Linked DNA regions of Neodiprion lecontei. The protein of the gene in region 1 purifies or fractionates together with the protein of each later gene. This does not show direct contact. Links are inferred from orthologs where the notes say so. Each region holds a gene or a part of one and is shown on either strand. Other genes may lie near its edges.

Evidence for each region.
Region 2: the proteins of protein nervous wreck (region 1) and neural Wiskott-Aldrich syndrome protein purify together in Drosophila melanogaster (affinity purification with western blotting, with the first as the bait; 3 studies listed by BioGRID). This does not show direct contact. The link is inferred for Neodiprion lecontei from reciprocal best matches to the Drosophila melanogaster genes nwk and WASp.

What each region holds. Positions count from the first base shown.
Region 1 is NC_060261.1:5,813,564-5,818,351, reverse strand, and holds the start of protein nervous wreck, read left to right. Parts: upstream 1-1,787; 5' UTR 1,788-1,896; coding exon 1,897-1,917; intron 1,918-3,581; coding exon 3,582-3,679; intron 3,680-4,403; coding exon 4,404-4,449; intron 4,450-4,788. Other genes in the region: BTB/POZ domain-containing protein 10, read left to right, coding at 109-306, 445-905. UniProt on the Drosophila melanogaster protein: Adapter protein that provides a link between vesicular membrane traffic and the actin assembly machinery. Acts together with Cdc42 to stimulate actin nucleation mediated by WASp and the ARP2/3 complex.
Region 2 is NC_060260.1:27,945,488-27,951,515, forward strand, and holds neural Wiskott-Aldrich syndrome protein, read left to right. Parts: upstream 1-2,000; 5' UTR 2,001-2,146; coding exon 2,147-2,242; intron 2,243-3,179; coding exon 3,180-3,460; intron 3,461-3,615; coding exon 3,616-3,912; intron 3,913-4,029; coding exon 4,030-4,342; intron 4,343-4,435; coding exon 4,436-4,750; intron 4,751-5,009; coding exon 5,010-5,261; 3' UTR 5,262-5,490; downstream 5,491-6,028. Other genes in the region: ralBP1-associated Eps domain-containing protein 2, read right to left, coding at 514-666.

The DNA of each region.
Region 1 (4,788 bases):
TGCTTGAGAAAAATGAATACACTACGGTATCTCAACATCTAAATTCTATAAAGCTTGGAGAAAAAAATTTTTTACCTGCATCCAAATATGAATTGAAATGTGTTACAGGGGGACTGCTTCACGAATTGTCTAATGAAGGAGCTCGCTGCCAGTTTGAAGTTTTTCTCGAAGACTTGATATTACCACTAATGGTTAACAGTGCGCAACGAGGAGACAGAGAATGCCACGTCGTAGTTTTACTCGAAGATGACGTCGTAGACTGGGATGAAGAATATCCACCCCAAATGGGCGAGGAATACTCACAGAGTAATAAATGATTTGATATAAAATATGCACAATTCGCGATTCACATCTTTCACTTCCCGAATTTGTTTCTCACAGACGCGATAACGAAATCCCGAAATGCCTTACTTTGTAATGAACCGAATCGTTGTTTTTTCGTAGCGGTGAACAGCACGGCCATGTACCGATTTTTTAAATACATTGAAAATCGAGATGTGGCCAAACAAGTGATGAAAGAACGAGGACTGAAAAAAATACGCTTGGGGATCGAGGGATACCCAACGTACAAGGAGAAGGTGAAGAAGAGAGCGGACGGCCGTGCGGAAGTTATATATAATTACGTCCAACGTCCTTTTATTCACATGTCATGGGAGAAAGAAGAAGCCAAGAGCCGTCACGTCGATTTTCAATGCCTGAAATCTAAGTCTGTAACAAATCTTGCCGAGGCTACAGCAGATCCTGTACTGGATGCTGGAGAAAATCCCATAACGGCAATCGGCATGGATCCTATACCTCAACCATTAGCAGCTAATCCCATGGGCATTGATACTGACGCTGAAGGAGCCGTTGGATTACCAGCGGACTCGGATCTCAACCAATTATTACCCGACGAAACCTCTTAAATGATATAATTATACCAGTAAGAACAAATCTGACACATTATCTATACCTGTTTATACACTTTGAAATATATTTAATAAAATTTTCAAACAACATACTGACCCGCTCTATCATTCACACCTCAATTCTCACCCTAGCGTTATTTATAGTAATAATCGAATGTGCGAGTAAAAATCGAGGGACGATAGAGATTAGCCACAATTGTTTAAACTTTAAAAAATTTTACGAACGCTTACGTTTCCCGTGATGTTAAAGTGTAGGTGAAAAATCACTGGATCTGAAAATCGAGGTACCAATAGACGTAGGGGTTCTTTGAACAAAAATAGATCGGCCTTGGGATCAGTTAGCGATTGATCCTTTGATACATTATAAATTATAATAGATGATAATTTACGCACAAATGAGCGTTAGCAAACGGAACAGTCTAATCATGCGTACAAGCGCGCTAGTATCCTTATTCATCTCCTCTAATCGAACTGTAGAAAAATGTAGCGTCACCTTAAAACGAGTGTTACATATTATCCATATTATACACGAACACGTTACATAATTATTGAAGTGAAAAAAACAAAATCTCAAATTTTTCACGCGTGTTTTCCCTCTTTGTCCCATTATCAATTGCGGAGGGTTGAAATTATCACCCGCTGTTGATGATGATTATTTCTTTTTTTCAATCCGCTTTAAATTTATTTTCGCATTTATTCATTCAGTTATTCGAAGTCCAAGCGAAATTAGAAAGAGGAGAGAAGAAAATAGAGAAGGTATCTCGTGATAGAGAGCAAAGTGGAGAAGAAGAGTAGGCGGGTTTGATGGTCTCGCGCGTATATCGTGGACCGACGAAAACACACCTCCGGGCGCAAGCGTCGGTTCGATCAATAAATAGGTTGAGACGAGGGCAAGAGAGCAGTAGTATACGGGTTGGTAACCAGTGAAGGCATTTCCAAAAAATTACAGTACTTAGTGGCGAGGCTGCAGCAGCCAAGTGTGTTCAGCATGCAGCCGCCCCCAAGAAAAGTAAGTGCATTATCGCCGATTAAAAGGCGAACGATACCCGAAAGGCGTGTACCTACCCACAAATTTACGGCGAAGACTGGATTTATTAATTAAACATTTCATCCCCCTCGCCCTGCGAATCGCGGTCAAGTTTACTGTTTACTTTTACATATCAACCGTATAATCGAATACAATATACACGCGGGGGTTTCCGACCTGCCTTATTGATTCTGGGTACCAAATATAAAATTGATACCACCGACACACTAACCGGGAAAATCAATGCCCGGGTCTTTTACCTCCGCAAAATTTTACACGAATACTATATTTTACTTTCGCACCTTTCATTTTCTGGGTTGTTTCGTTATCAATGTAATAATCGTTCAAACTCTCGAATTTTCGTCTAGAATAATATGCAAGGGACTTTGCAATGAATCGAAGATTAAACCGAATCGTTATTCAAATTCAAATTATCGCAACTATCGCAAAACGATCTTCACTCGTGAATACATCCGTCATCGTTCGTGATGTAGGTTTGATATGGATCGCATGCACAATTATCTTCAAAATACATGATCGGCCTTGGCTGTACATAGTGGATATGTGGTAAATATCTACCTACAAATGATGACCTAGTGCACGTTTGATGCAGTGATGCTTCATTCTTGAATGAAAAAATGGCCGTTTATACATTTCGAATGAGATTTATAAATCGCAGGTATGACCGAAATCCTTCGTTAGATTGGTGGACTTTAATCTCATCCTTCGTCCATAATTATACAAGTAAGACGAGCAGTCCTGGAGCTAGTAAAAAAAAAAAAACCTCTGCATTACCCACTTCCTTAATTCACGTCAGAGCTTTTTCTCAAGGTGAAGAGTCTAAGGAAAATTTAATGCGATTATGTACATTATGTGAATATATAAACCTACATATATACAATCTGCGCTTCGGTATTTATGCATAGGTATATGTCACGCCGATGTTACTCAATTCTTTTTTCTAAATACCTAAATAATTATTTTCCGCACACCGTACTGCTGCAGTTTTCAAATAATTCTATATCAGAGTGCAAATCAGCGAATCTTATTTTCAGTAATACGCTATTTTAGTGCCGAATATTGAATTATCTTGGAAAAAAAATGGAGTCATATATATTTTGAAATCATATAATATCATTGATTACGTGAGGCGTGCGCTGTGAATTCGGAAGAGTATAAATATGTGTGTATATATATATGTGTGTATGTATAAATTGTAACTGTTTCATGTTATCGTTATGTAAGCGTAAGCCCGTAAGTATGAATTGAAGGAATTGAAAAACTGAAAATTTAGCAAACGACTATCTGCGGAACATCGTCGCGATAAGGAAAGAAGTATTTGGCACGTTTCTCTTACCGTGTACAATCAGTGATTGTCCCACTTCACCATCATCGTAACTTCACATCGTCGTCGTTTAAAATAATCCGCATATGCCTTATATCTATGATCGATATTCGTTGAGAAACTAGGATATAGGCAAGATTCTCTGTGGGTATACTCTCGTAATGCGGTTCGTACGGTATAATTATGAAAAGCGAAAAGGGCAAAGTACGTCGTGATTGACGCGCATTCCAATCCCATACCAATTATAACCGAATGCAGGTAATTACTGTTTTAAAGAAACGTATGAATATTTTTCGTACAGGGAAATTATGCAAAGTTTTTGAAAAACTTGCATACCGAACAGGCAGCGAAACTGCAGGCAAAAAATCAACATGAATGCGATTTGTTGGAGGATATACGGTGAGCTTGATTACAATTAGATATAACGCTGCGTCATATGTGTTTTTTTTTTTTTTTTGTTCGCTCGCAGAAATTTTAGGAGATCATTGTTACGGCATTTTAGCGTAGTTTTTTTTTCGTTTGTTTTTTTGCCGCTCAATATTCACGTGTTATGGCTGATGGCTATAAATAAACTAAATACGTATATTAAACGTTGTTATATTACCCTATCAATCACATTTGATACTATCTGAAGCGTTGCTTGATTTGAAACTTATCAAGGTAATGCAATAGCATGATAAGTATAAAGTATAATATCCTCAAGGTTTCATCAGAATTGATTTCTGATCGATTAGAATTGAGTACCGAAAGCCGTGCCATCAGTCATAAAAGTGAGAAAACGCTTCTGACAAATAAAAAAAAAAAATTTTATTTGATATATTTAGATTCACGCAAGAATCTGTCTATATTTTCAAAGCGCATGTATCATTATACTGAATATACATATGTATAGTGTAAGAAAAATAATTATATATCATGTTGTATAAATTTGAACGAATTTCATATTTTGTACAAAATAATATTATATATAACGGATGGAATATCTTGCGTTTTGAAATTACTGCCGCAAATTTTTGTTTCGTTCTTGTATACATCATATTATATTACTGTAACGATATATAGCTTTATCAATTTGTACATCTTCATTATAATTAAAATATTCAATTAATATTTAATTGTACAGAAATTTCACGATTAAGAAATCTGCAATCGAAAAGTCCTATTCTGAGGTGAGTTTCAGTTACCATTGTAGTATAGTTATTAATAATTACCCAATCATCGATCTGCCTGTTTCTGTTGTAATTTCCGGTTTACGTTCCTTCTTTCATATATACTTGGTTCCTAATTTATGAATGGGTAGCATCCCCATTCGGTCCGACTACGTATAAAAATACATTCGTCAATATATTATATACCGAAGCATACATTACGCTGTAAATGTTCCAACTTTATATCTATATTTGCATACTATTTCATCACATCAACACACCCTGTTGTACAAATTCTGTTTACTAAATGATCAACGTTCCAATACTATGCCATTGATCGTTTTTCTCTTCACATTGTGA
Region 2 (6,028 bases), on another chromosome or scaffold:
TTTTCTAATCTAATTCTAACACAACTTTGTGTTTGAAAATTATATTTCGGATATTTCAAAACTCAATTATGTGAACAGTATTTGGCAATTCCAAACATTCTAGCACAGTGTCACAATTCCTAGTAAAGTTTTTCAGATGAGTGACAGAAATAAATTTATATGCAACAGTTCTTAAAATAAATTCAGACTATAGCGAATGCGATTACCCCTACGAAAGTAGCACAGAATTGAAGTATAAAGTTTAATCAGAAACATTGCGAGATCAACTGTGTGCTCCGTTTTGTTGAATTACATGTTAAACAGCAGTGAAAGGTACACGCCCCCTTGGATGATATGTGATCGCATATAAACACTTGCTCCGATTGAGCTGGGAAAGAATTAAAAAAGAAACATCCTAATCACGATTCATTGAGTGGAATAACATTAGTTCGAATTATTGAGAATTGATAGTGGTACACAGTAATGGTTTAGAACTAGGAACGTGATGTTTAAATGGTATGCTAAATTTTATACCTTTTTGGCAATTCGGCGCGGTATGTGAGTGGTGCGTACAAGTTGAGTGACTTTGGCGATTGGGACCTCATCAATGTCAGGGTCTTTGCGAAAACAGTTGAAAGTCTCTCCGTAAAGATCGTGTTCCTCTTCGGTCAGCTGTGGATCCTCCATCTTGTCAAATTAACGTTAGTTTAGTTATTCGCGGAATATTGTACCACCTAAACATGATACGGTTAAGGTGACATTATTCTAATACGGTATATCCAAGCAAGATAAATGACACTGGTCATTCATTTTACGATTTACTAGCTACACCCCACGTAAACGGGCATACAGGCACATTCGCCATATTCGTCCGTTTGACGTACGCTCAAACATTGACTAACTTGATCAAGGATTGTCCGTCTTTGTTGAATTCGCGCACGCGTAAATTTTTCCTGAGTTCCTTCTTTACCGGCACTACAATACCAATAATGACGTCATCTCAATTTTTTACTGAAGCTGAACGATAGTGCTGTTCTTCAATGAATGTTTGACGTGTAGTACCTTTCATTGAAGATTGAAGAGCATAGTTATCGACCGTTAGATAAACAAAGGAATCATCTCGATTCCTATTCCTATTATTATCTTGTCCTATGAATACGCTACTGTCTCATTTGCAATTATACGTAACTACTGCGATGGTAGCGCCTGTGCGTACGAAGTTGTCTTTTTCATTTCTCTTCATCGAAATACAATAAGCAGTTGATCTTCTACGATCACAGATCATGCAAACTGCACCATCGAATAACGTCGAATATCGAATTCATGGGTTGATTTAGCGCGCGTGTCAAACGAGGAGATAAAACCGATTCATAGGAAGAAAACGTAGCTTGTAAGGATGACCCAGTTGGGCTAAAATTGTTTACCTGCTGCCTATCAGTTAGAGACACGCCTCGGAAGGATGGGAGTTTTACAGGTCTACTACGGCAGTAATGATCCGCGAAATTGACATTTGCTAGCAGAATCCTCTGCGTATACTTCAGCGAATTACGTGGTTTGCGCAACAGTTATTCAATAATAAATTTCTGCACACTTGCTAGAAATGTCTTGAATACTTTCTGATTGCGGATAAGTGTCAACAATGTAATATCAAAGTGTTGATGTGGTTATACGTAGACAGTGACGGGCAGTGCAGTCTCACTTTGTACATACGTTCAACTGACAGGCATGATTTTGACCCCTGTTAGAATTCATTGCGAATTAGCTGTGATCGTGGTTAATGACTCACTAGAGTCGCGTATAAGTGGATGACTACTCTTTATCCACCCGTTCGTTCGTGTGTACTTAAATCTTGTGTATTAAAAATAGGTTATGTATCTACGAAAGGAAAAAAAGACAATGCTCATCGAACCGGATGCAAGAAAATGTCATCAAGCGTCACTCTCGCTTCCTGTTGAGATACCTTCGTGGGTGGTGTTGCTTTCGGTATACGGTGAAGGCTTACTCACGGATAGGCGGTTGTAAGCGGGCAAAAATGCAAAATCCGCAATCAATTCTACGGTGATTTACGTGCCAGTGCCCTGGGCCGTCTGGGAATCGAATGGAACTTCTGGAGCCGTGGATATCGCTACGTCCATAACCTAAACGTGTATAATATTTTTTGTCGAAAATGAAATCTGGACGCTTGAACGAGCACAGAGGATCCATCCTTCTCTCGAAGGAAGAAAACCAGGAAGTCTTCAAGCTTATTGGGAACCGATGTCAGGTGTGAACTTGTCAAATTTGTCATCACTACCTTTGTCAATATCCTTTCATTGCTAACTGATACTGACCTATATTTAAAGCTACAGGCAATCGTTGTCTACCTACGTGTTTAGAACCAAAGATTGCCTAATTTAGAAGTTCCTGTCGAATACGTGAAAATTTTTCAAAACACTATTACTTATTGAATATACTGTATTCTCTGATCTATGACAACATTCTATGTTGTATGATTATTCGCAGACTCCACCTTGTTGACATTACAAATTTATTATTTTTGAAGCAGTAAATGGTGCATATAGAATTTAGATGTAAACTAACATCTGTTAGTTAGACTTTCGATTTTATGTTTTAGTTATTCTAAATTTTAGTTGCCATTTATTGGATTGTCATTATAATTACCGCATATGTTGGGTATATTTAAAATGCTTGAAGTCATATGATCAATGGCTGATCATTATGTTACACATAATCTGTGATTTTGCAAGAAGTTCTGTCTGCTTATCACAATATTTCAAACATATACTGCTATGACAGGAATGTTATCAATTTCTGGCTTAAGATTATAAAGCATTATCATATTTCATTTGATAACAGAGTATTTTGTAACATTTTTCATATAACACACTTATTTCAACATATAGGCCATTGGGAACCTTCATAAGTTTTTTTTCATATTTAAGCGATATACTATACAATTAGATCATAATTATAACATAATTGTAAATTCCATATCTTCACATTTCACATCAGCGGTCAGTAATTGCATCTAATTTTAGTTGAGACGAGGCAAGCACGCTTTTAATTGTTCGAAACAAATGGTTAATATTTTTATTCAAACTAATATTTGGTCATGTTGTTTTGCTTATGACTCATTTGTTGTATTTTTGTCACAACATGTGAGACAATTGTGTAGCTAACAGTATGTTTTGCTATTTCAGTGCCTTGCAGCTGGTGTGATACAACTATACGTAACTGAGTCTCCATCACATAGGGATTGGATAAAAAGAGATACTGGTGTAATAACACTCATTAAAGATAATCCAAGACGCAGTTACTTTTTTAGGCTGTATTGTCTGCGAAGAAACGCAATGCTGTGGGAACATGAAGTCTATAATTCAATGGATTACAAAGCTCCCATGTCCCATTTTCACACATTCGAGGGTGAAGATTCTATGACTGCTTTTAATTTTGCCAGCGAAACAGATGCAATCATATTGAGGTATTAATCGCTTTTTCTCTAAAACCGCAATAAGAAGTCAAGATTATGGCACAACATGTTTTGCTATGAAGTAACATACAGTCTAATTTTATATATGTTACAATCGTTCATTATTGTCGATGGTTTGATAATAATTTCCTTTCCTCACATCAAAGGTCGATAATTCTTGAAAAGCTTAATGCTAAGAGGCAAAGAAGACAAGAAAGAAAGTCACGAATTAATGCCGATTCTCATCATTCGCTGACGTTGCCAAAAAAGAGCCACAGCAATACCTCAGCTGTAGGTTTCAGCACTGGAAGTTCAACAGACATATCAAATGGCTCTTCATCATCCGCTACTGTCAATAGAAGCGTGTCCAGTAGTTCGATGTACAAAGCTAAGAACCATAAACAGGACAAGGATCCAAAGAGAAGATTGACAAAGGCGGACATAGGTTCCCCCTCAAACTTTCGGTATGATTTTAATTTATTGAGAGTATTGCGCTCTCAACCTTGACACTATAAAGAAATTTGCGTAATACAAATTTTCTCTCGAGAAATATATTAATTGTGTAATATTACCTGTTACAGACATGTGGCACACATGGGTTGGAATGTGAACAGTAAAGGTTTAGAATTGGAATCCGTAGATCCGCAATTAAAGCAGTTTTTCGACACAGCAGGTGTTTCGGATGATCAGCTGAGAGATCGAAAGACGCGAGAGTTCATCTATGACTTCATCGAATGCCATGGGGGCATAAATGCTGTTAAAGCAGCTATAATACCACCTTCGAGTATACAAGGCAATCAACCACCACCGCCGCCAGCACCGACAGGATTAGGACCTCCACCTCCTGTTCCCGCTCGAACTGTTCCAGTTAGTCCCGGACCTCCAATAAGTAGTGTGCGTTGCCATAATGTTAGGAAAAACTATACTAATATCCGAGTTATCTTTTAAGTACATCAGTCATGCTTTAATTTATTATGATCATTTCAGAATCAGCCACGTAGTGCTCCGCCTTTGCCACCTTCAAGAACTGCTGCACCACCTCCACCACCTAATGCCCCTCCTGCTCATCGGCCTTTGCCGGCTCGCCCTGTTGCATCTTCTGTGACATCACCACCATGTCCTCCACCACCACCTCCACCTCCAATGTCCACAAACATACCTCCTCCTCCTGCACCTCCGATACCACAATTAACAGAGATGGATAATGAGACAATAAACAGTAATGCCACTAATAACAATGGTGGATTACCTGATACCAGAAATGCTTTGCTCGATGCAATCAGAAGTGGTACAACGCTCAAGGTACGATGACCGTTTCAAATTTGTTTTTTAAATCTGATGATATACGTTATGTGATCAATTTTTATTTCGTAAATCCGAAAATATTTAATGCACATAAGATGTATCTGAGCAAACTTTTGATTTATTTATAATTTTCATTAATTTTCAGCATAGCTGCAATTGGGATAATCCGTGTTTAAATGAATTCAATTTCGAAATTTCATTTAAAATGTTTTCATATCCATATACTTTCGTGACTCGATTTACTTTTATATTGCAGAAGGTGGACAAAGTCGAGCCCAAGCCAAATTTGGCTGACGATACTAGAGGTAATCTGTTGAGTCAGATACGCCAGGGAGTCGAGTTGAAGTCGGTTGCAAATCAACCAAAATCTGCCCCGTCTCCAATCATACAGAATAGTTTAGCTGGAGCTTTAACTAGGGCCCTAGCAGAAAGATCGCGTGTAATACACAGTGATAGCGACAGTGACGATTCAACGAGTGAGACCAGTGGTGATGACTGGGACGATTGAATAGTTACTTTTGTCTGTAACACTAAAAAGGTATTTGTAAAGATCGATGATTTAATGTGCAGGTCCTACGAGTACCTGGCTTATTATTTACTAGATGAAAATAAGTTGAAAACAAAAGTTTTTCTTTTTTTTTTCCCCAAGCAATTATACTAGGTAATTGAGAGCAATGTAAGAACTATTTTTTTCTGAAAGGGTGCTGAGTGCTTAAAAATTTAAGTATGTTAGAGAGGTGCTTCCTTTTGATACTGATATTTTTCGTATTGATTACGGTATTTTTAGTATAAAAATGAATTTATTATTGTGTTTCATAAAGTAAACATGTAAGTGAGTCCCTAAGTTTCAGAGATACTGAAAACGAGATGCGAGTGTTAATGGTCAATTATTTTATTTATATACTTTAATCTGGCATGCAGCACCCTTTTTCAGCTGGAGTATGGTTCAGAAATGGAATAAAGTGAAACTACTGCGCACTAATGGTTTGCAGTCTCATGCATAGAAATTAATTTATTGTATTTTTAAGCTATAATATGACAGGTTCGTTATATTTAAAGTTAACTATTTGAATTGAAATATGAAACGTTGTGCATGCTTAAATACATTTTGAATATTTTCTAAAGTCTGACTATAGTGATAAGATGTTCAACATGGCGTGGTGATAAAAACACTTCCTTCCTTGTACCTTCTTTCAACACACGATATATAAAAAAATATTTCTGTTACGCATTAATCGAACAGTTTCTTCTGTTTTGGATATTTACAGAGTCCAA